5 linked regions of the Oryctolagus cuniculus genome follow. The protein of the gene in region 1 interacts with the protein of each later gene in a pairwise test. Links are inferred from orthologs where the notes say so. Each region holds a gene or a part of one and is shown in the gene's direction. Other genes may lie near its edges. The genes, in order: MYO5B, RAB25, TRIM54, BNIP2 and RAB11B.

What was found.
Region 2: the proteins of MYO5B (region 1) and RAB25 interact in binary tests that used the Homo sapiens proteins (3 or more experiments, as listed by UniProt). The link is inferred for Oryctolagus cuniculus from reciprocal best matches to the Homo sapiens genes MYO5B and RAB25.
Region 3: the proteins of MYO5B (region 1) and TRIM54 interact in binary tests that used the Homo sapiens proteins (3 or more experiments, as listed by UniProt). The two-hybrid records come from large-scale screens. The link is inferred for Oryctolagus cuniculus from reciprocal best matches to the Homo sapiens genes MYO5B and TRIM54.
Region 4: the proteins of MYO5B (region 1) and BNIP2 interact in binary tests that used the Homo sapiens proteins (3 or more experiments, as listed by UniProt). The two-hybrid records come from large-scale screens. The link is inferred for Oryctolagus cuniculus from reciprocal best matches to the Homo sapiens genes MYO5B and BNIP2.
Region 5: the proteins of MYO5B (region 1) and RAB11B interact in binary tests that used the Homo sapiens proteins (3 or more experiments, as listed by UniProt). The link is inferred for Oryctolagus cuniculus from reciprocal best matches to the Homo sapiens genes MYO5B and RAB11B.

What each region holds. Positions count from the first base shown.
Region 1 is NC_091441.1:28,139,842-28,143,353, forward strand, and holds part of MYO5B (unconventional myosin-Vb), read left to right. Parts: intron 1-1,097; coding exon 1,098-1,209; intron 1,210-3,512. UniProt on the Homo sapiens protein: May be involved in vesicular trafficking via its association with the CART complex. The CART complex is necessary for efficient transferrin receptor recycling but not for EGFR degradation.
Region 2 is NC_091438.1:42,629,546-42,633,783, reverse strand, and holds the start of RAB25 (ras-related protein Rab-25), read left to right. Parts: upstream 1-1,438; 5' UTR 1,439-1,642; coding exon 1,643-1,685; intron 1,686-4,238. UniProt on the Homo sapiens protein: The small GTPases Rab are key regulators of intracellular membrane trafficking, from the formation of transport vesicles to their fusion with membranes.
Region 3 is NC_091433.1:175,681,816-175,685,327, reverse strand, and holds part of TRIM54 (tripartite motif-containing protein 54), read left to right. Parts: intron 1-2,650; coding exon 2,651-2,823; intron 2,824-3,347; coding exon 3,348-3,512. UniProt on the Homo sapiens protein: May bind and stabilize microtubules during myotubes formation.
Region 4 is NC_091443.1:82,563,316-82,567,619, reverse strand, and holds the start of BNIP2 (BCL2/adenovirus E1B 19 kDa protein-interacting protein 2), read left to right. Parts: upstream 1-1,500; 5' UTR 1,501-1,728; intron 1,729-4,304.
Region 5 is NW_027208201.1:4,438,431-4,442,442, forward strand, and holds the start of RAB11B (ras-related protein Rab-11B), read left to right. Parts: upstream 1-1,210; 5' UTR 1,211-4,012. Other genes in the region: ANGPTL4 (angiopoietin-related protein 4), read left to right, coding at 1-31, 562-743. UniProt on the Homo sapiens protein: The small GTPases Rab are key regulators of intracellular membrane trafficking, from the formation of transport vesicles to their fusion with membranes.

The sequences.
Region 1 (3,512 bases):
ATTACAGCCATTTGGGGAGGGAACAAGATGGAAGATCTTTCTGTTTGCCCCTTTCTCTGTGTCACTCTGCCTCTCAAATAAAGGAATAAGTCTTAAAAACACTGAAGGGGGCCAGCGCCGCAGCTCACTAGGCTAATCCTCCGCCTAGCGGCGCCGGCACACCGGATTCTAGTCCCAGTTGGGGCGCCGGATTCTGTCCCAGTTGCCCCTCTTCCAGGCCAGCTCCCTGCTGTGGCCAGGGAGTGCAGTGGAGGATGGCCCAGGTGCATGGGCCCTGCACCGCATGGGAGACCAGGAAAAGCACCTGGCTCCTGGCTCCTGCCATTGGATCAGCGCGGTGCGCCGGCCGCAGCGGCCATTGGAGGGTGAACCAACAGCAAAGGAAGACCTTTCTCTCTGTCTCTCTCTCTCTCTCACTGTCCACTCTGCCTGTCAAAAAAAAAAAAAAACCACTGAAGGGGCCAGCGTTGTGATGTAGTGTTTAAAGCTGCTGCTTGCAGTACCGTCATCCCATATGGCTGCTGATTTGAATCCCAGCTGCTCCACTTCCTATCCAGCACTCTATGGCCTGGGAAAGCAGTAGAGGATGGCCCAAGTCCTTGGGCCCCTGCACCCGCATGGGAGATCTGGGGGAAGCTCCTGGCTTCAGAGCTCTGGCTGTTGCAGCCATCTGGGGAGTGAAAACAGTAGATGGTAGACCTCTCTATCTCCCTCTCCTCCTCTCTGCATCTCCTTCTCTCTGTGTGTAACTCTTTCAAATTACACACACACACTCTGAAAAGCAAAGCTGCTCTCCAGGGAAGGCCCTGGCGGCTTCAGCAGCGGTAGAGAGAACTCCGCATGCTTGGGTGGAGACCCTGGCCCCTTCTCTGGGTGGTGCCTCGGGATCCACTTCTCCCTGGGTCCTCCGGTGGCACCTGCAGGCATGCGCAGCACCCTGGGACTCGGGGAGGCCTGTAGGGAGAACAGGATGCCCCTGGGGCTGTTTGTTCCATTCTGAGAAGGACTCCTGCCTGATACAAGCCTGCGGAGGCTCCCAGTAGACCTTCCCCCTCCCCAGCAGGGTGTCACCTGTCGCCCCTTTGCTTTCCCTGCAGGTGGGCCTACCACGACTTCTTCAACCGGTACCGGGTGCTGGTCGCGAAGAGGGAGCTGGCCAACACGGACAAGAAGGCCGTCTGCAAGGCTGTCCTGCAGGACCTCCTTAAGGTGCGAGGGGTGGGCTGTGGGAGGCGGCGGCGGCAGTGGTGGTGGTGGTGGTGGTGGTAGTGTTCTGCCCGTTGAACCTCTGAGCTATTCCCCGTTTCCCCACATCCCTTACTAAACCCGCCAGAGCACTCTGCACCTGCAGGAGATGGAATTCTTCATGCAGCTCGCTGGGGTGGCTGCACGCCGCTGTCCCAGGAGCTCCCAGACTCCCCAGGGCCTCCATAGCTCAGCCTGCCTGACCTCCGGAGCCCAAGCATAGCCCGGAAGTCGGCAGAGGGGCAAATGGCTGCACTGCTGGGGTCTTGCCTGTTTGCACACCCAGCCTGAGGCTCTGCTCGTTTCCACAGTTTAAATAACACAGCAGGTTTACGCTGGAATCTCACCTGGCAGAGCTATAAAAGCAGAGCTGTTGGGGGCCTTTTGGGAGAGGCAGGTCCTCAAGTGCTTCCATAGCTGCCGGAGCTCAGCGACTGTAGCAGATGGCTGTCACTGTCTCAAGGGACTAGGTCATAGCAAAAGTCATCCTTTGGGGAAGGTGATGTAAGAGTTACTTCAGGCCGGCGCCATGGCTCAAAAATAGGCTAATCCTCTGCCTGCGGCGCCGGCACACCGGGTTCTAGTCCCGGTTGGGGTGCCGGATTCTGGCTCGGTTGCCCCTCTTCCAGTCCAGCTCTCTGCTGTGGCCCGCGAGTGCAGTGGAGGATGGCCCAAGTGCTTGGGCCCTGCACCGCATGGGAGACCAGGAGAAGCACCTGGCTCCTGGCTTTGGATCAGTGCGGTGTGCCGGACGCAGCACGCTGGCTGCAGTGGCCATTGGAGGGTGAACCAACAGTAAAGGAAGACCTTTCTCTCTGTCTCTCTCTCACACTGTCCACTCTGCCTGTCAAAAAAAAAAAAAGTTACTTCAAGGATTTCAAATTTTAGCTGAGACTTTGCCAGGAAAGTCTACCCAGACATAGCTGCCTGGTGAGTAATCAGGGTTTGGGTGGTGGTTTGTCTTCTGCCCATCTTAGCTGCTCACATCTGTGGCTGTAGACGGTGCAAGATGGTGCACTCGAGGCATATGTAGTTTTTTTTTTTTTTTTTTTTTTTTTGACAGGCAGAGTGGACAGTGAGAGAGACAGAGAGAAAGGTCTTCCTTTTTTGCTGTTGGTTCACCCTCCAATGGCCAGTGCGTCCAGCGCGGCCAGCGCGCTGCAGCCGGTGCACTGCGCTGATCCGAAGGCAGGAGCCAGGTCCTTCTCCTGGTCTCCCATGGGGTGCAGGGCCCAAGCACTTGGGCCATCCTCCACTGCACTCCCGGGCCACAGCAGAGAGCTGGCCTGGAAGAGGGGCAACCGGGACTAGAACCCGGTGTGCCGGCGCCGTAAGGCGGAGGATTAGCCTAGTGAGCCATGGCACCAGCTGCATATGTAGTTTTAAAGCTCCCTTTAAACAATGGGGAGCCCCTTGCCTCACTCCCCCCACCCCCTCTGTTTTTTCTCACAGTGGGGCGATGGTCTGGATAATCGAGGCTTGTGGTTAGTTAGTTGCACTCCGGGTGGTTGAGATTTTTGCGTGGTTCACCTGTCAGGGTCCACATCTTAGCATAGCGTTTCTCATGGGTGAGAAGAGAAATCTGCTCATGTGCGGCTGCTCTCGGTGAAGAGGAGGCACCAGGCGAGCTAGTCCTCACTGCTCCTGGGAGCTGGCTGCCTGGTGTGCGGCCCGGGCCTGTGCACAGCCCGCTGTACCCTGTGGCTGCCTTCTGGGGCTCGTCCTGTGCCGCACTTCTCTGAGGTTAATAGCAGAACCTCTACTTCCAAGCAGCAGATACGGTAGAGGGACCCAGGTCAGACTGCGGGGGTCACCTTCCACCCGCGTTACCCACTGCCTCAGCTGGCAGGGCCAAGTGCTGGGCCTCTGATGCACCCATATGTGGGGCCTACTGGGCACGGCTGCCCTTCCTCCCACTGATGAGCAGGCTGTCTAAGCCTTCGCAGTGGACTCAGAAACCATGCCCACCAATGCAGTCTAACTGTGCACAATTAGTCTCTGAAAACGTGTGGCCCCGCCAGCGAGCCAGCTAAGTGGCCGTTGGTGTAGAGAGAGCTTTCCGCCGCCGTGGATGGGCTGTCCCAGTGTTCTGTCCCAGCAGGAAGAGTGGGCTGACTTCGCTGTAGCAGGTGCAGCTCAGGCTGTGATTGCAGGTGCAGAGAAACCTCCTGTAATACTTTTTTGGGGTGGGAGGTTGATTGCCATCTGTTACTGTGTGGGCCGCTATGTGATCATTTGAGGATAGTTGTTTTTTTAATTAATAGCTG
Region 2 (4,238 bases), on another chromosome or scaffold:
TAAAAATAAAAAATAAAAAAAAAAAAAAAGAAGTGGAGCAGTAGGGGTCGGTGCTGTGATGCAGCCGGTAAAGCTGCTGCCTGCTGTGCCGGCATACCGTATGGGCGCCAGTTTGAGACCTGGCTTCTCCACTTCCAATCTAACTTTCTGTTATGGCCTGGGGAAGCAGTAGAAGATGGCACAAATCCTTGGGCCCCTGTACCCACATGGAAACCTGGAAGAAACTCCAAGCTCCTGGCTTCGGATGGGCCCAGCTCCGGCTGTTGGAGCCATTTGGGGAGTGAACTAGTGGTTGGAAGACCTTTCTCTCTCTGTCTCTGCCTCTCTGTAACTCTGACTTTCAAATAAATAAACACATCTTTTAAAAAAAAAGAAGAGGAAGAAAAGAAGTGGAGCATCCAGGACTTGAACAAGCATCCATTTGGGATGCTGGAGTTGCAGGTGGCTGTTTAACTTAGTGCACCACAATGCCAGCCCCAAGGATGCCTTTTAAATTTTTTTTTTTTTTATTTGAAGGGGAAAGAGAGAAAGAGAGATCTTCCATCTACTGGTTCACTCCCAAATGCCCACAACAACCAGGACTGGGTCAGGTCAAAGCTGGGAGCTCAGGACTCCTCAGGTTCTCCCAGCTTGGGTGGCAGGGACTCAAGGACCTGAGTTATTACTTGCTGCCTCCCAGGGTGCTTGTTAGCAAGACGCTGGACCAGGCACTCTGATACGGGGTGCAGGCAGCCCAAGCAGTGACTTAACAAGTGCACCAAACACCAGCCTCAACAAGATGCATTGGTGTGTGTGTGTGTGTGTGTGTGTGTGTGTGTGTGTCTCTCCAGTCCTGTGCAGGGAGTGAAAGAAACTAGGAGGGCTCTCAGAGGCCTCACCTGCAGGTCCTGCCCCAGCAGGCGCTTTCTGCCCTAGGTCTCCCCTACCCAGTGTCCTTAAAGCAGGTCTGTGTAGGGAAGCAGGGAGGTTGCAAGCCCAGCTCCACCTGGCCCAGGCCCAGGGCTGTCCCAGGGAGGGAGGCAGTGCAGCTCCCACAGCTCTGCCTTGCAGCAGGTGATTGGCAGCCCGGCCCCACACCAGCAACAGCCCTACTTCTAGCACCCCCAGCAACCCCCCAACCAGAAGTTCTGAAGGAGAAACAGGAAGCCAAGGGACTTTCTGTGCCCTAGGGGGGCCTATTTCTCCCTGGTGGCTTGGCCCCCTCGCCACAGATCCGTGTGGATCCAGCCCTTTGAAGATCCTGTGCCTGTCCAAGCTTCTTCCCCGACTCTGGCCCCCCTAGCATTGGCTCTGCTGCATGCGCGGGAGCCCAGCAGGGAGAGCAGACACCCAACCTGTCTAACCTGTCTGACGTCATCATCTCTCCACCCACCTGGGCCCCAGGTCTCCAGTCGCCCGCTCTTCCTGTTCTCAGCTTCCGTCTGCCCGCTTCCTTGCTGCACCCCCAGCTGCCTGCCTGGCTTCCGCTCGCCCTCAGTCTCTCCGGCTGGAGAAGTCGCTTCACCCCCAATGAGAGGAGGGGCGGGCCCAGGTCTCCCGAGAGCCGAGGGTTGAGGGTACTGAGCCAGCGCACTGCCTTGTCACCTCTGCCCCCCCTCCCCGACCCACCCAAAGACACCTGCACCCTCCATGCGGAGCCAAGATGGGGAACGGAAAGGAGGAAGATTATAACTTTGTCTTCAAAGGTGAGTTCGGGTCCCGAAGGGAGGAAGTGTGAGAGGCCCGGGAAGGAACAAACACAGCCAGAGAGGGCCCCTCTTGTGTTTTGATCTGGTCCCAGGACCCCCAGGGTCATCATGCCCTCCTGCTAAGAAAGCAAGCTGCAGGGGGAGTGGGGGCGGGTCTCAGGGCAAAAGTCCAGGGGCTGCCAAGTGTGTTGATCACCCTGAAAGTGCCAAGTTAGGCTCCCCTGCCCGACTCCCCGCCCACCCCCCCCCCAAGAGTCAGCCCCTGCAGCGCCGGAGATGGAGGTCAGACTTCAGAAAGGACTTCCCCTCTGGGAACAAGGGAAAGAGAGTCGACTTTCCAGGCAGGTGTATAGAAAAGGAAAGGAGAGAGCTGCCTCGCCCTAGGGCTGGGGGAGACATACAAAGGGCAGATGTAATGCATCAGGCAGGGGCTGGCCGGCTCCAGAGGAAGCTACTGCTTACTGCTGCTGGGCCGGAGCTTTGTCTCTCCCTCGCAGACTCCTTGGACTCAGGCCCCAGGCCCTGGGTTCCACTTGGCTGTCCCTGCAAGTATGTGTGTGTATCTTTCCTGCTTCTTTATCTCAGCCCCTGTGTTTGGCCCCTCTGTGTTCCCCAACCCAACCTCCACGCCTCCTTCAGGACAGGGCAGACTGGTAGAGCCAATGCTTCCCCCTCCAGCCACCCCACCCCACTGCCTCTCCCAGCCTCGGCCCCACCCTCACGCAAGCTGGGGAACCTGTACTCCCGGCATCTTTCCCAGGAAGGACGCCGACAGGCTGGGGGTTAGCCCTGCCTCCATACCAGCCCCTATCTCATTAAAAACCCTAACATGCCCCCTGAAAGTCATCTTTCCTTCTGAGAGGCAGTCCAGCCCAATGGTCAGGGCCCAGCCAGGGTTCAGGTCTCAGCTCTGCCACCTTAAAGTCGCAGCAGGTGGCAGTGTCCAGAGGCAGACACTGAGAAGGTTAGAGCAACACTGGTGAAAGGCAGGGGAGGAAACAGGGTTGGGCACAGGGAGAAGTTGGGCTGCACGCAGGCTCTATGCAGGGCGGGAGCGCTGCTAGCCTCACCTTGCTCAGGCACGGGGTGCGGGCTGCCTGGGAGAGGCTGACTTCAATGAGGCCGCTGTTATAGCCACGTATAGCCAGGGCGGGCGTGGCAGGAGCTGGGGGCCTGAGGCTGGCTGCTGCCTGTACTGCCTGCAGCGCGTGGGGCTGGGGTGATGGGCAGGTGCTGCACGGCAGCTCTGGACGGCACACCTCTGTGTTTGCATTAGCTGTGTTATTTGGAGTGTTTGTGTCCTTGTTGATAAAAATGAGGACAATCATAATGGTACTCACCTCACGGCACTGTCGTGAAGATTTAGCGAGTACTGGTGAGCCTGTAGCACAGTGCCTGGCACACACAGTAGGCGCTCAAACCGTGTTAACCAACAGAATCTCTGTTTTGCAATGAGAAACTGAGACTTAGAGGCAGGGTAATTAGCTTCCCTGAGGTCACAAAGCCACAGCACTCAAAAGAACTTTTCCTGGGCAACTTTGGAGCAACTAGGAGCTGCACTCCCAACAGGGAAGAGGCAGGTGTGCACACGCACACACACACACCACAATACACACACCAGAGGTCTTTAAAAAGTTTTTTTTTTCTTTTTTTACAGGCAGAGTGGACAGTGAGAGAGAGAGAGACAGAGAAAGGTCTTCCTTTTGCCGTTGGTTCACCCTCCAATGGCTGCCGCGGCCAGCGCGCTGCGGCCGGCGCACTGCGCTGATCCGATGGCAGGAGCCAGGTATTTATCCTGGTCTCCCATGGGGTACAGGGCCCAAGTACTTGGGCCATCCTCCACTGCACTCCCTGGCCAAAGCAGAGAGCTGGCCTGGAAGAGGGGCAACCGGGACAGAATCCGGCGCCCCGACCGGGAGTAGAACCCGGTGTACCGGCGCTGCAAGGCAGAGGATTAGCCTAGTGAGCTGCAGCGCCGGCCATCTTTAAAAAGTTTATGACAAATGCATATTATGACAAATGCTGCATAGACTTCACAAATTTTTTGCACTGGAATAAACTTATCTTTTAATTCCATTTTCCATGAACCTTAAAGCATCCTCAGTCAAATACACACACAACTCTTTCATGGCCGACACAAATACTGCATTTTTAATGTCAGACGGGGCCTTTATAGTTTGTACAAGCAAGGAAGTGAAATCCAGAAAAGGTGAGCCACTTGTTCAAGTTTGCCCAGCTAGTCACAGGCTGAACAGAGCCCACAGCCCAAAATACATAGTCCCAGTCCTTGGGCACCACTTTTCCACCTTGGGGCCACCCTGGGGGGCCTCCTCTGATCCTGGGTGCTCGGCTCAGTGCTGGCGCAATGGGTGAGTTGTACGGACACCAGCCCCTGACACTCCCCCCAGGCCCTGGCTCACCCACAGTCGGGAGACCCGGGCCCAGGACTCCATCTACCCCTAAGGTGGAGACCATTCTTCTTGCCACTTTCCATACAGAAAAGAAGCTTCACAGAGGCTTAGTAACCTGCTGATGGGCACAGAGCTGGCC
Region 3 (3,512 bases), on another chromosome or scaffold:
CAATAACATCCAGGAAAAAAATCCCCAGTCTTACAGGCGTTTTTCCCTAACCTGCATCAGAATAAACTCATACAGACCCTCGATGTCCCTGCTGCCACCCGCCACAGTCTTCCTATCGCTCACAGCAGGTGGCTCCATGCTTTGGGAAGCACAGTGAAGGGCTCCAGGCGACGTGAGTCTCGCACCACGCACCGGGCAGCCCTGGAAAGTCCCAGAGATCAGCTTTACTATTTTGTTGCCAGGCAAATGTAGTCCTGGGAGCAAAGTGCACGTGTGTGTGTGTGCACGTGCGTGCGTGTGTGTGTGTGCCAGAGACTGGCAAAAAAGTAGGGCTGGGAGTCGGGCGGAGGCAACTGAAGCTGTCTCAGAAGGGGCAGCCAGGCCGGGCCCAGGGGGGCCGCGGGACCAGGGGCCGGAAGGCCACATGGGAGACGCTGGCCCGTGGTGCCGCGCTGAGCCAGGCCGCAGAGAAGGCCAGGGTGCAGGCCCTCCTGCCCCGTGCCCGCACTCACCTGTGTGCGCTCGGCTTCCTGCTTCCTCTCCCGCAGAGAAAGGCTCTTGCAGCACAGGCCTTGGGGTGGGCTGCCCGCGGAATGAGGGCGTCTCGGCCTCCCGGCTTCCAGGATTAGCCGCTGCGAGGAGCGAGGAGCGTTTAGGAAACTTCTTTAGTGTGGGGGGTGCTGGGGAGAGGCACGTGCTGCCTCGGCTGTGGGTCCTGGCAGCGGGGAATGAGCGGCAGCCCCAGGGGCTGAGGATCCCCCACTCCTGGTTCCCTCTGTTCCCTCTGTGAAAGTTGCGGTAAAAAGCACAGAACGTGAAATTGAACTGTTTTCAAAGTCTTACTATTTTATTGTTATCTATTTGAAAGGCAGTGAGAGGCCGGCACCGCAGCTCACTAGGCTAATCCTCCGCCTGCGGCGCCGGCACACCGGGTTCTAGTCCCGGTCGGGGCGCCGGATTCTGTCCAGGTTGCCCCTCTTCCAGGCCAGCTCTCTGCTGTGGCCCGGGAGTGCAGTGGAGGATGGCCCAAGTGCTTGGGCCCTGCACCCCTTGGGAGACCAGGAGAAGCACCTGGCTCCTGGCTTCAGATCAGCGCGGTGCGCCGGCAGCGGCGGCCATTGGAGGGTGAACCAATGGTAAAGGAAGACCTTTCTCTCTGTCTCTCTCTCTCACTGTCCACTCTGCCTGTCCAAAAAAAAAAAAAAAGAAAAAAAAGGCAGTGAGGGTGTGCCAGCGCTGTGGCGCAGCGGGTTAATGCCCTGGCCTGAAGCGCCGGCATCCCATATGGGCGCTGGTTTGAAACCTGGCTGCTCCACTTCCGATCCAGCTATCTACTATGGCCTGGGAAAGCAGTGGAAGATGGCCCAAGTCCTTGGGCCCCAGAAGAAACTCCTGGTTCCTGGCTTTGGATTGGCGCAGCTCCGGCCGTTGTGACCAATTAGGGAGTGAACCAGTGGATGGAAGACCTCTCTCTCTCTGCCTCTCCTCTCTCTGTGTAGCTCTGACTTTCAAATAAATAAATCAATCTTAAAAAAATAAGAGGAAGAAAGACAGAGAGAGAGACAGAGCTCTTCCATCCGCTGGTTGACTGCTCAGGTACCAGGATTTGTTTCCGTCACAGACGAGCAGGCCGTTCTGGTGGGAAGGAGCCCTTTGGCGCTCTGTGGGACACCTGGCCTTGACACCTGGGTTGCCTTTTCTTTATCTTTGCTTCAGTAACGTCCATCTAGAGTTGCATCACCGATTTTTAGGCTGTAGCCTTTTCCCTCTGTGAAGGGTGTTGATGCTCAGTCATCCCAGGGCAAGCATTTGGCACAGTGGTTAAGTCGCCACCTGGGACGTCCACATATGGGCAGGTGCCTGACCCCACTTCCGATCCCACTCCATGCTGGAGTGCACTCTGAGAGGCAGCAGAGCACGGCTCGAGTGCGAGGGTCTCTGTCATCCACGTGGGGGACCTTCATGGAGTTCTGGGCTCCTGGCTCTGGCCTGGCCCACTCCTGGCTGTTGGGGGCATTCGCGGCGTGAGCCCGTAGATGGGCGCTCTCTCTCCATCTGTGTTTCTCTCACTCTGTGTTTAACATGAAATGCAGTTTGTTTTCATTTGAAAACCTTTGCCTCTGCCTAAGACTCAGAGACACGTGTTAGCGCTGGACATCACCTTCAGTTAGCCCAAGCTGTATTGTATCTGACCGTGTAGTGTAATGACCGCTAGGGCAGGGGATGCCACTGCGGCGTAGTGGGTAAAGCCGCCGCCTGCAGTGCTGGCATCACAAATGGACGACAGTTTGAATCCCAGCTGCTCCACTTCCGATCCAGCTCTCAGCTACGGTCTGGCTCCGAGCCCCTTTCCTACCCCAGCTTTTCCTGTAGAGGCCAACATCTCCCCATCGCTCCAAACTGGACCCCTCGGTAGAGACCCCATCGTGGCTGGGCCCTGACAAGAGCTAGGCTATGGAGTTGAACACTTACAGAGCCAGGCTGGGTGACGAGGCGGGGCCCAGGAACTCCATGGCCACCCGCCTGCCGGAGCTGCCCCGCCCTGCCTCATTCTCCTCCTCCTCCTGCGCCCTCACCACCTTCACCCCTGCTTCCCTCAGTCCTCGCACACCTCGCCGTGCCCGCCTTCTCACAACACCCATCCCTACAGGCCTCCAACCCTCTGTGGCAATCCCGGGGCTCCAGCACCGTGTCTTCAGGAGGCCGCTTCCGCTGCCCATCTTGCAGGCACGAGGTTGTCCTGGACAGACACGGGGTCTATGGCCTGCAGAGGAACCTGCTCGTGGAAAACATCATCGACATCTACAAGCAGGAGTCCTCGCGGTGAGCCGTCAGGGCCGCGTGTGCCGCCTGGGGCACGGCCTGGGGGCTCCGTGGGGGGGGGGGGGCTGTGGAATCAGGCGATCTGCTCCTTCGGTTTGGGGATGCAAGGATGGGCCCAGAGGAGGCAGGGGCTTGCCCCCGGCCACCCAGAGAGGCCAGGCCTCCCTGCCCCACCCAGGCCCAGGTTTCCCCTCTCCCCTCTCATATCTGCTGTCCCGTGGGGCTCCCAGGGCCCCCGAAATGCAGTCTCTTTTCGGATCCACGCCTCCTCCACCTCTTAAGTCCTTCTGTTCTCCAAATTAAGAGCCCCATGGAAGTCACTCACCCACCCAGCAGCACCCACGGCAGGGGCAGGGAAGGTGCTGGTGATTGGTGGAGCTGAAGAGAAGGTGTTGAGGGGCCCCACACGCACGGGCGCTCCTCAGGGGCTGGCACCTGGCCCTCCCTGCCACCCAACCTGCTTGGGTGCTCCCTGGGGCCTGGCCCCTGACCCCGCCACCTCGCCCCTGTGCGCTCCTCTCCAGGCCACTGCACTCCAAGGCCGAGCAGCACCTCATGTGCGAAGAGCATGAGGACGAGAAGATCAACATCTACTGCCTGAGCTGCGAGGTGCCCACCTGCTCCCTCTGCAAGGTCTTCGGGGCCCACAAGGACTGCGAGGTGGCCCCGCTGCCCACCATTTACAAACG
Region 4 (4,304 bases), on another chromosome or scaffold:
TTAAGGTGCAGAGTTTAGAAATCCATAGAGCAATTTTACAAGAAATGCTACAGCTGGTGACTGTAATAAAAATATTTTCATTTGGAGTTCATAGACCTTTTTTCATTTCATTTATATTTTATTAAAATATGATTCACAATTGGAAAAAAAATTTTTTTGACAGGCAGAGTGACAGAGAGAGAGAGAGGGAAAGGTCTTCCTTTTTTCCATTGGTTCACCCCACAATGGCTGCTGCGGCTGGTGCACCGCGCTGATCCAATGGCAGGAGCCAGGTGCTTCTCCTGGTCTCCCATGCAGGTGCAGGGTCCAAGCACTTGGGCCATCCTCCACTGCCTTCCCGGGCCACAGCAGAGAGCTGGACAGGAAGAGGAGCGACCGGGACAGAATCCAGCACCCCACTGGGACTAGAACTTGGTGTGCACCACTGGGACTAGAACCTGGTGTGCTGGTGCCGCAGGTGGAGGATTAGCCAAGTGAGCCACGGCACCGGCCAGAAATTTTTAAAATGATAATAAACTGATGGCACTCCAGAGATAGTTTGAGAAACACTGCTCTAAAGCTGTTCAAAATAAAGAGGATTTGGGATCAACTTGGTGGCCAAACAGGTTAAGCCTGTTCAGGTCCCAGCTGCTCCACTTCCCATCCAGCTTCCTGCTAAGGTGCCTGGGCAAGCAATGGGGGATGGTGGTAGTGCCTGGGCCTGGGGCACCTAAGTGGAAGACCCGGATGGAGTTCCTGGCCTCTGGCCTTGGGTCTGGCCCAGCCCCAGTCCCAGCCCCAGCCTCAGCACTTGGGCCATTTGGAGAGTGAACCAGGGATGGAAGATCGATGTTTCTCCCTCTCTTTCTAACTCTACCATTCAATTAAAGAAGTAAATCTTTACAGAGAAAGTTTTGCCGAACGCTTATTTGTTTATTTATTTGGAAAGTCAAAGTTAACAGAGACAAGGAGAGAGAGAACATCTTCCATCCGCTGGCAATAGTCCGCTGGAGCCAGGAGCTTCATCCAGGCCCCCAAGTGGGTGCAGGGGCTCAAGCACTTGGGCCATCTTCTACTGCTTTCCCAGGTGCATTAGCAGGGAGCTGGATCAGAAGTGGAGCAGCTGGGACTCGAACCTGCGATCAGAACCACAACAGCAGCCCCTAAATGAGACTGCCTTGAGATCTACATGCCTGAAAGTAAGCTTCGCATATATTTCCTCCCCTCGGGTCATTTACTTTATACAACACAGGCACTGTAGCGATAGTAAAAACAAGCAGAAGAAAAATAGCAATGACCCTGAGTTCGCAGGCGTCCTCACCGCAGGGAAAAGCGGAAAAAAGAGAGTAGAGACCCAAAAGCCAAGGGCTGCTCCAGTTGCCGCAAGTGCGCACGCGCAGGTATTAGCCCGGGACAGCGGAGGAGGGAGCAAAGCTGTGGGTTTGACTAGGAAGCCACGCCCCCACGCCCCGGCCGCGCCCCCCCACGCCCCGGCCCCGCCCCCGCCTCCCGCAGAGCCTAGAAAGGGTCAGGATGCTGTCACTTCCGCCCGGGCTGCTTTTTGCGTCCGGGTCAACTGCTGCCGCTGCAGCTGCCGCTGGGGCTGCGGCCGGGGACTAGGCTGGGTTGTGCACCGCTGACCGAGAGGAGCGGGCTCCTCTCGGCGCCGTCTTCTGCGACCTGGCAGTCAGCACCACGTCGCCGGCCTGGAGGGTAGAAGAGGACGAGGAGGCCAAGGCTTCCTCCGGGGTGAGTGCGGCCTGGGAGGGCTCAGCACGGCGAGTCCGGGCGCCGGGAACTGGGCTGGGGGCGCACGTCTGAAGGGGCGCTTGCCCAAGGCCGGCTGCTGCGGAGCGGAGGCCCAGGGCGTTTTCCGTTGTTCGGGGTGCGCTCGAACCTGCTTGGGAGGCGCCTTCCGGCTCCCCGCCCGGCTCAGGTCCCCGCCCTTGGCTCGGCTCCTTGTGTGCGTTTGCCAGCCTTGCACCCCCAGCTCCGTCGCTTTTCCGTTTTTGTTGCTTGTGCCGGGGATGGAACCTTCCCCCGTGTCTGCTCCTCCCTCCACCCGGGGTCTGGGCGCGGTGACGGGCCGCGTTGGTTCCGTACTGGTGGTCTGAGTCTGTCCTGTTGCAGAACAAAGGAAACTTGGACTTGTGTGGCGTGCCGCGTACCTTCGGGGGTTAGGCACGGAAACAGCAAACAGGGCTTTATAGACGGCCCCGGGCGAGCTCGGCCAAATACCGGGTGTGTGCGTGAAAAGCTGCGTCCCTCCGTGTTTACAGACACGGCCTGTTAAGTACCTGGCGAGAAAGGGTTTGATGTCCTGGGTGCGTCCGCTGCCCCTGGAGAGCTAAGCTACTTGATCAACCCGTGTTAAATCAGAAATGTGTTTCGATCTTTAATACGTTGCTTTGAAACTGACCTCGTCTGTCTGGGGGGGCTCTGCGCAGACAGCTTTTCTGTGTTCATTAAGGTAGTCCCAGTGCCTCCCAGTTGGTTGAGTGAAGTGAGTGCATTATAGTGGTGCTTTTTCCATCCTTGCCTTTTTTTTTTTTTTTTAAACGGGGGAGTCTAACTTAAGTACTGCTTGATTTTTTACTTTCAGTAAAATGTCTCCTTTTTCTGATGTTTTATGAGAGCTTCTGCAGTTGTAGAAGAAATTTTGTAATTTGTAAATGGCTACATTTCGCCAGAATTTTAATGGAAGTTACCTAGTGAAGTTAACGTTCTGACTAGTAGTTTCTGAGTCATCTTGCACGTTTTCTCCTTAGCTCTTATTTTGTAAACTGCGTTCCTGGTCTTGATCATCTTTCCTCCTGCAGCCTGAAGTTGGGCTTAGAAAGTATGACATATCTTCTGCAAACATGAACTTGAACTAGGTTGTCATCAAGCAAGGAAGGTTCTTGTGACTTGCAGGCATTACGGAACCTTTGAAACTAAGTGTACCAGATCCGGCCATGAGACTTACCGTGTATAAAGCTGCCAGTGGAGGAGCTCCGGGATCCAGGATGTGGTGTCATTTGCTCACATAAGACAGAACAGGGATAATAATACCAGTGTCGGCGCCTCACAAAAGTTGTCGGCTGGAGCAGATGAGATGATGGTTGTACAAGTGTCAGTAAGTGGTGAAAAGCACTGTTTTGGACAGGGCACTGTTCATTCTAACTGGATTAATGCTTGAGCGATAAGGATAAGAGCTATCTAGAAAAAAAAAAAAAAAGACACAGACCCAGATCCAGTATATTAACCTTGACTGACATTGGATCAAAAGGTGTCTTGTTAAGAGTACTTCATATAAAGCAAAAATACTATGATATGGTGATAGTAATATCACACAGTTGTTAAGCTCTTTTTAACGGTCTCTAGTATGTTCTGCATACTGATCACTTTTTGTTAAGATTTCTTTATTTATTTGAATGGCAGAGTCAGAGAGGGGAGAGAGATCTTGCATCCACTTGTTCACTCCCCAGATGGCCGCAACAGCTGGGGCTGGGCCAGGAGCCTGGAACTCCATGTAGGTCTCCCATGTGGGTGGCAGAGGCCTAAACACTTGAGCCATCTTCTGGTGCTTTCCTGGGCCCATTAGCAGGGAGCTGGATCAAAAGCTAGAACTCAGGGGATGCCAGTGGTAGCTTAACACACTATGCCACAACAGCGGCCCCTGCATACTGATATTTTGAGTTAACATTTCTCATAGAGATCTCATTTATTTTTTTTTAAAGATTTATTTACTTATTTGAAAGGCAGAGTTACAGTTAGGCAAAGGCAGAGAGAGAGAGACAGGTCTTCCATCCACTGGTTCACTCTCCAGATGGCCGCACTGGCCAGAGCTGGTCCGATCCAAAACCAGGAGCCGGGAGCTTCTTCCGGGTCTCCCATGAGGGTGCAGGGACTCAAGGACTTGGGCCATCTTCTGCTGCTTTCCCAGGCCATAGCAGAGAGCTGGATCAGAAGTGGAGCCAGGTCTCGAACTGGCAGCGATATGTGTGCCAGCACTGCAGGCGGCAGTTTTACCTGCTGTGCCACAGCCCCAGCCTTTCATTTTATTCTTAAAAACTTATATGATAGGGCCACGCAGTGACACAGTAGGTTAATCCTCTGCCTGTGGCGCTGGCATCCCATATGGGCGCCGGTTCTAGTCCTGGATGCTCCTCTTCCAATCCAGCTCTCTGCTATGGCCTGGGAAAGCAGAAGATGACCCAGATGTTTGGACCCCTGCACCCACGTGGGAGACTGGGAAGAAACACCTGGCTCCTGGCTTCAGATCAGTGCAGCGCACTGGCCGTAGACCTTTCTCTCTGTCTCTCTCTCTCTCTCACTATCTATAA
Region 5 (4,012 bases), on another chromosome or scaffold:
GGGGACCTTAACTGTGCCAAGAGCCTGACTGGTGAGCAGGCCCTGACCCCCACCAATCCTGTCATGCCCCTCACTGCTGCCCTGTCCTGTCTTCAGCTCCACATTGCACCTGTTCCCTGCCCCTATCTTCTTCTTACTTGCTGGATACCTTTGGGGCCCTCTAGCCTCAATTTTCCCATCTTTAAAATGGGTATAACCATGGCACTCAGGCTGTGAAGTGGAACCCGCGAAAGTGCCTTTTGAAGGGGTCAAAAGTAGTGAGTGGAGTATCGGTCGTTTCGTTCGGCCTGAGCTCGCTCGTATAAATTGATCTCAGATGTGACAACTGTGTTTGAGAAGTGGGAGCCATGTGCCCTGTGCCAGGCATGGAGACCTGACTTGTTGTGGTCACGGGTCACGGGAGCTGCTTCACTGTGATGACAGGGCAAGGGGGTGCCCAGGGGCCCTAACACGGCTGCATCTCCTGTAGACTTCACAGTCACTGCCAGTGTAGGGTCCCAAGCTCGGTCCGGCCCCAGCCCTGTCCTGACTTGTCCCCTCTCCTCTGCCTTTGCCCTGCAGGTGGCTGGTGGTTCGGCACCTGCAGTCACTCCAACCTCAACGGCCAGTACTTCCACTCCATTCCCCGGCAGCGGCGGCAGCGGAAGAAAGGCATCTTCTGGAAGACCTGGCGGGGCCGCTACTACCCGCTGCAGGCCACCACCATGCTGATCCGGCCTGCGGGAGCCGAGGCGGCCTCCTAGCCTCCTCACTGGGGCCTGCACCCAGGCTCCTCGTGGACACTGACTTTGGCTTGGGCCCAGGAGGTGGCCGGCCACTCCCTGCCCAGGCAGGGGCTCCACGCAGGAGCCATTTGGAGCCTGGTGGACAGAGCAGATGCCCGAGACTTGAGAGAGGCTCCCTGTCTGAGCGGGAAGCCACACAGGATGTTCATGGAGAAGAACCAGGGCCACGCACGGGACCGTGGAAGCGTGGGACTCAGGGGCATTCAGAGTCCTCCTCCTCGCCCGCCCGAGGAGTGGGGGACGCAGAGGGACCACTCGGAGATGGCCAGGCTGGCCTTCGACGGCGGACTCAGTCACATTGACTGGTGCGGGGCACCGGGGCGCCCTCACGGTGCTGCCGTGGTGTGAGCTGGCGCAGCGGTGTCCAGGCGGGGTTCACAGGATTCTTGGGAATAAAAGCAACTTCGGAACATTTTGTCCTTTTTTTTTTTTGGCCTTTGGTTTGTTTTTTAAAAGCGCACAAAGTCCACATCAACATGTGCCGGGGTGGGGAGGACGTACCCCCAGGTCTCCTGAGGACAAGGCTGGTTGAGCCGCCACCCTCCACTGATGTCACTTTGCTTTATTTATCCTCTCGCCCAGCGTGTTTTCCTTTGCAAAATCATGAGAAAATCCTCACTCGCTTCAGTCCCAGCACAAGCAGGTTAACAGAGAAACTGAAGCTGTAAAATCCCTTCGCAACCACATTGACGCAAAAGAATCTCAGTTTTGTTTTTTTTTTTTTTGAGATCAGAGCACGCATTTTCTGGTTCACTCTCCAAATACCTGCAACAGCCAGGGCTGAATCAGGCTGAAGCTAGGCAGTTCAGGTCTCCCATGCGGGTGGCAGGAACCCAAGTACTTGAGCCATCACCTACTGCCTCCCAGGATCTGCTTTAGCAAGAAGCAGAGGTGGGTTGGCTGGCACCACAGCTCACTTGGCTAATCCTCCGCCTGTGGCGCCAGCACCCCGGGTTCTAGTCCCGGTCAGTGCGCCGGATTCTGTCCTGGTTGCTCCTCTTCCAGTCCAGCTCTCTGCTGTGGCCCGGGAAGGCAGTGGAGGATGGCCCAAGTGCTTGGGCCCTGCACCTGCATGGAAGACCAGGAGAAGCACCTGGCTCCTGGCTTCGGCACCTGGCGCAGCACCGGCCATAGCGGCCATATGGGGGAGTGAACCAACAGAAGGAAGACCTTTCTCTCTCTCTCTCTCTCTCTCTCTCTCTCTCTCTCTCTCACTGTCTAACTGCCTGTCAAATAAATTAAAAAAAAAAAAAAAAAAGGAAGCAGAGGTGGGACTTGGACCCCGCGGCATGACATGCAGGTGTCCCAAGTGGCATCAACCACTGTAGCAAACGCCCATCCCCCACAGACTTTTGGAAGTACCTTCATACAGCTGACTGTAAATACGAATGCAGGATTTTTGGTAAATTTTTCAAAAAATTTTTTGCACCATATCTACATATTTTCTACTCTGGAATTTTCTCTCTCTCTCTTTTTTTTCCCTATAGCTTTATTTATTGAGAGGCAGGGCTAGCGAGAGGAAGAGAGAGGGAGAGAGCGAGCTTCCATCTGCAAGGAATGGCCAAATGGCTGCATCGGCCAGAGCTGCGCTGATCTGAAGCCAGGAGCCAGGAGCTTCTTCCCAGTCTCCCACATAGGTGCAGGGGCCCAAGCACTTGGGCCATCTTCTGCTGCTTTCCCAGGCCATTTAGCAGGGACCTGGATTGGAAGAGGAGCAGCCAGGACTAAAACCGACACCCATATGGGAAAGCCAGCCCTGCAGGCAGAGGCTTATCCTACTACATCCCAGTGCTGGCCACTAAGTTGACGTTTTTTTATGGCAATAGAAATTTAAGATTTAGCTTTTTAAAAGATATACTTACGTATTTGGCAGAAGAACAGACAGAGAGAGGTAGTCTTCCATCTGCTGGTTCACTACCTAGGCCTGAGCCAGACTGAAACCAGCAGTCTGGAACTCCACCCCTGTCTCCCATGTGGGTGGCAAGACCCCAGGGACTTGGGCCATTTCCCACTGCTTTCCCAGATGTATCGAGTTAACCTCCTGTGCCACAATGCCAGTCCTCAAATTCAGTATTTATTGAGTAGCTACTGCCTACCAAGTCCTGTATCAGATGCCCGGGCTATTCTAGCGAGCAGAAAGACCCTTTGCCCTCACTGACCTGAATGCCATAGCCCCTCCTATTACAGACAGGGCGGCCTGTGACTGATGATCCACACCGGGACACTTGGACAGTGAAGTGAGCAGCTCATTCCCAGACGTAATCAGGACCTCCTGACCCAGATTTTCCTTTTTAAATGTAGTCATAAGGGTGGGTATTCAGCACAGCGGTGAAGACACCACTTGGGACGCCAGTTCCAGGCTCCTGGTGTTTGGACTTGGCTGTTGCAAGCATCTGAGGGAGTGAACCAGCAGATGAACCATCTCTGTCTTTCCAATACGGCCAAAAAAAAAAAAAACATTAAAAATATATAATCATAGCTCTACCGCATCGGCAAAACCAAATCATTCGCTGTAAATAGGTCAGGAAAATTAGAGTTGATGAAAGTAAAACAATGCCTGTGCTTTAGGATTCTAGCTGGGGAACTGCTTTATGAAGACACTGAAGGACGTGCTTGGTCTCAGGAACGGGGACACGCTGTGAGAGTGTATTGTGAGCCAGTTCTGTCGTGTGTGCTCCTGCCGTGCACCTGCACAAAGCTGGAAGGTATAGCTCAACTGATGCACGTGGCCATTTGGCGCAATGGAGACTCAGTATACATGACATACACAAGGGTCTTGCTGGTGTAATGCGGCAGACTGCTCTACAGTAAACGTTATTTTCATTTCATTTGAAAGACAGAGACAGACAGAGACATGGAGAGAGATCTTCCATCTACTGGTTCACTCTCCAAATGCCCACAACAGCCAGGGCTGGCCCAATCCAAAGACAAGTGCTTAGAACTCCATCTGGATCTCCCCAGTAGGTGGCAGGGACCCTGGTACTGGAGCCATCACCTGCTGCCTCCCAGGGTGTGCATCAATAGGAAGCTGAATGCGATGCAGAGTAGCTCAGGTGCAAACCCAGATTTTCCAGTGTAGGAGGAGGCAGGCATCCCGAGCAGTGACTTAACCACGGTGCCAAACACCTGCGCCAAAAGTCAACTTTCTACAAGTAGGAGTACACTGTAAAATAAGGATAAAAAGTACAGGAGAGGGGCCAGCATTGTGGCACAGTGGGTTAAGCACC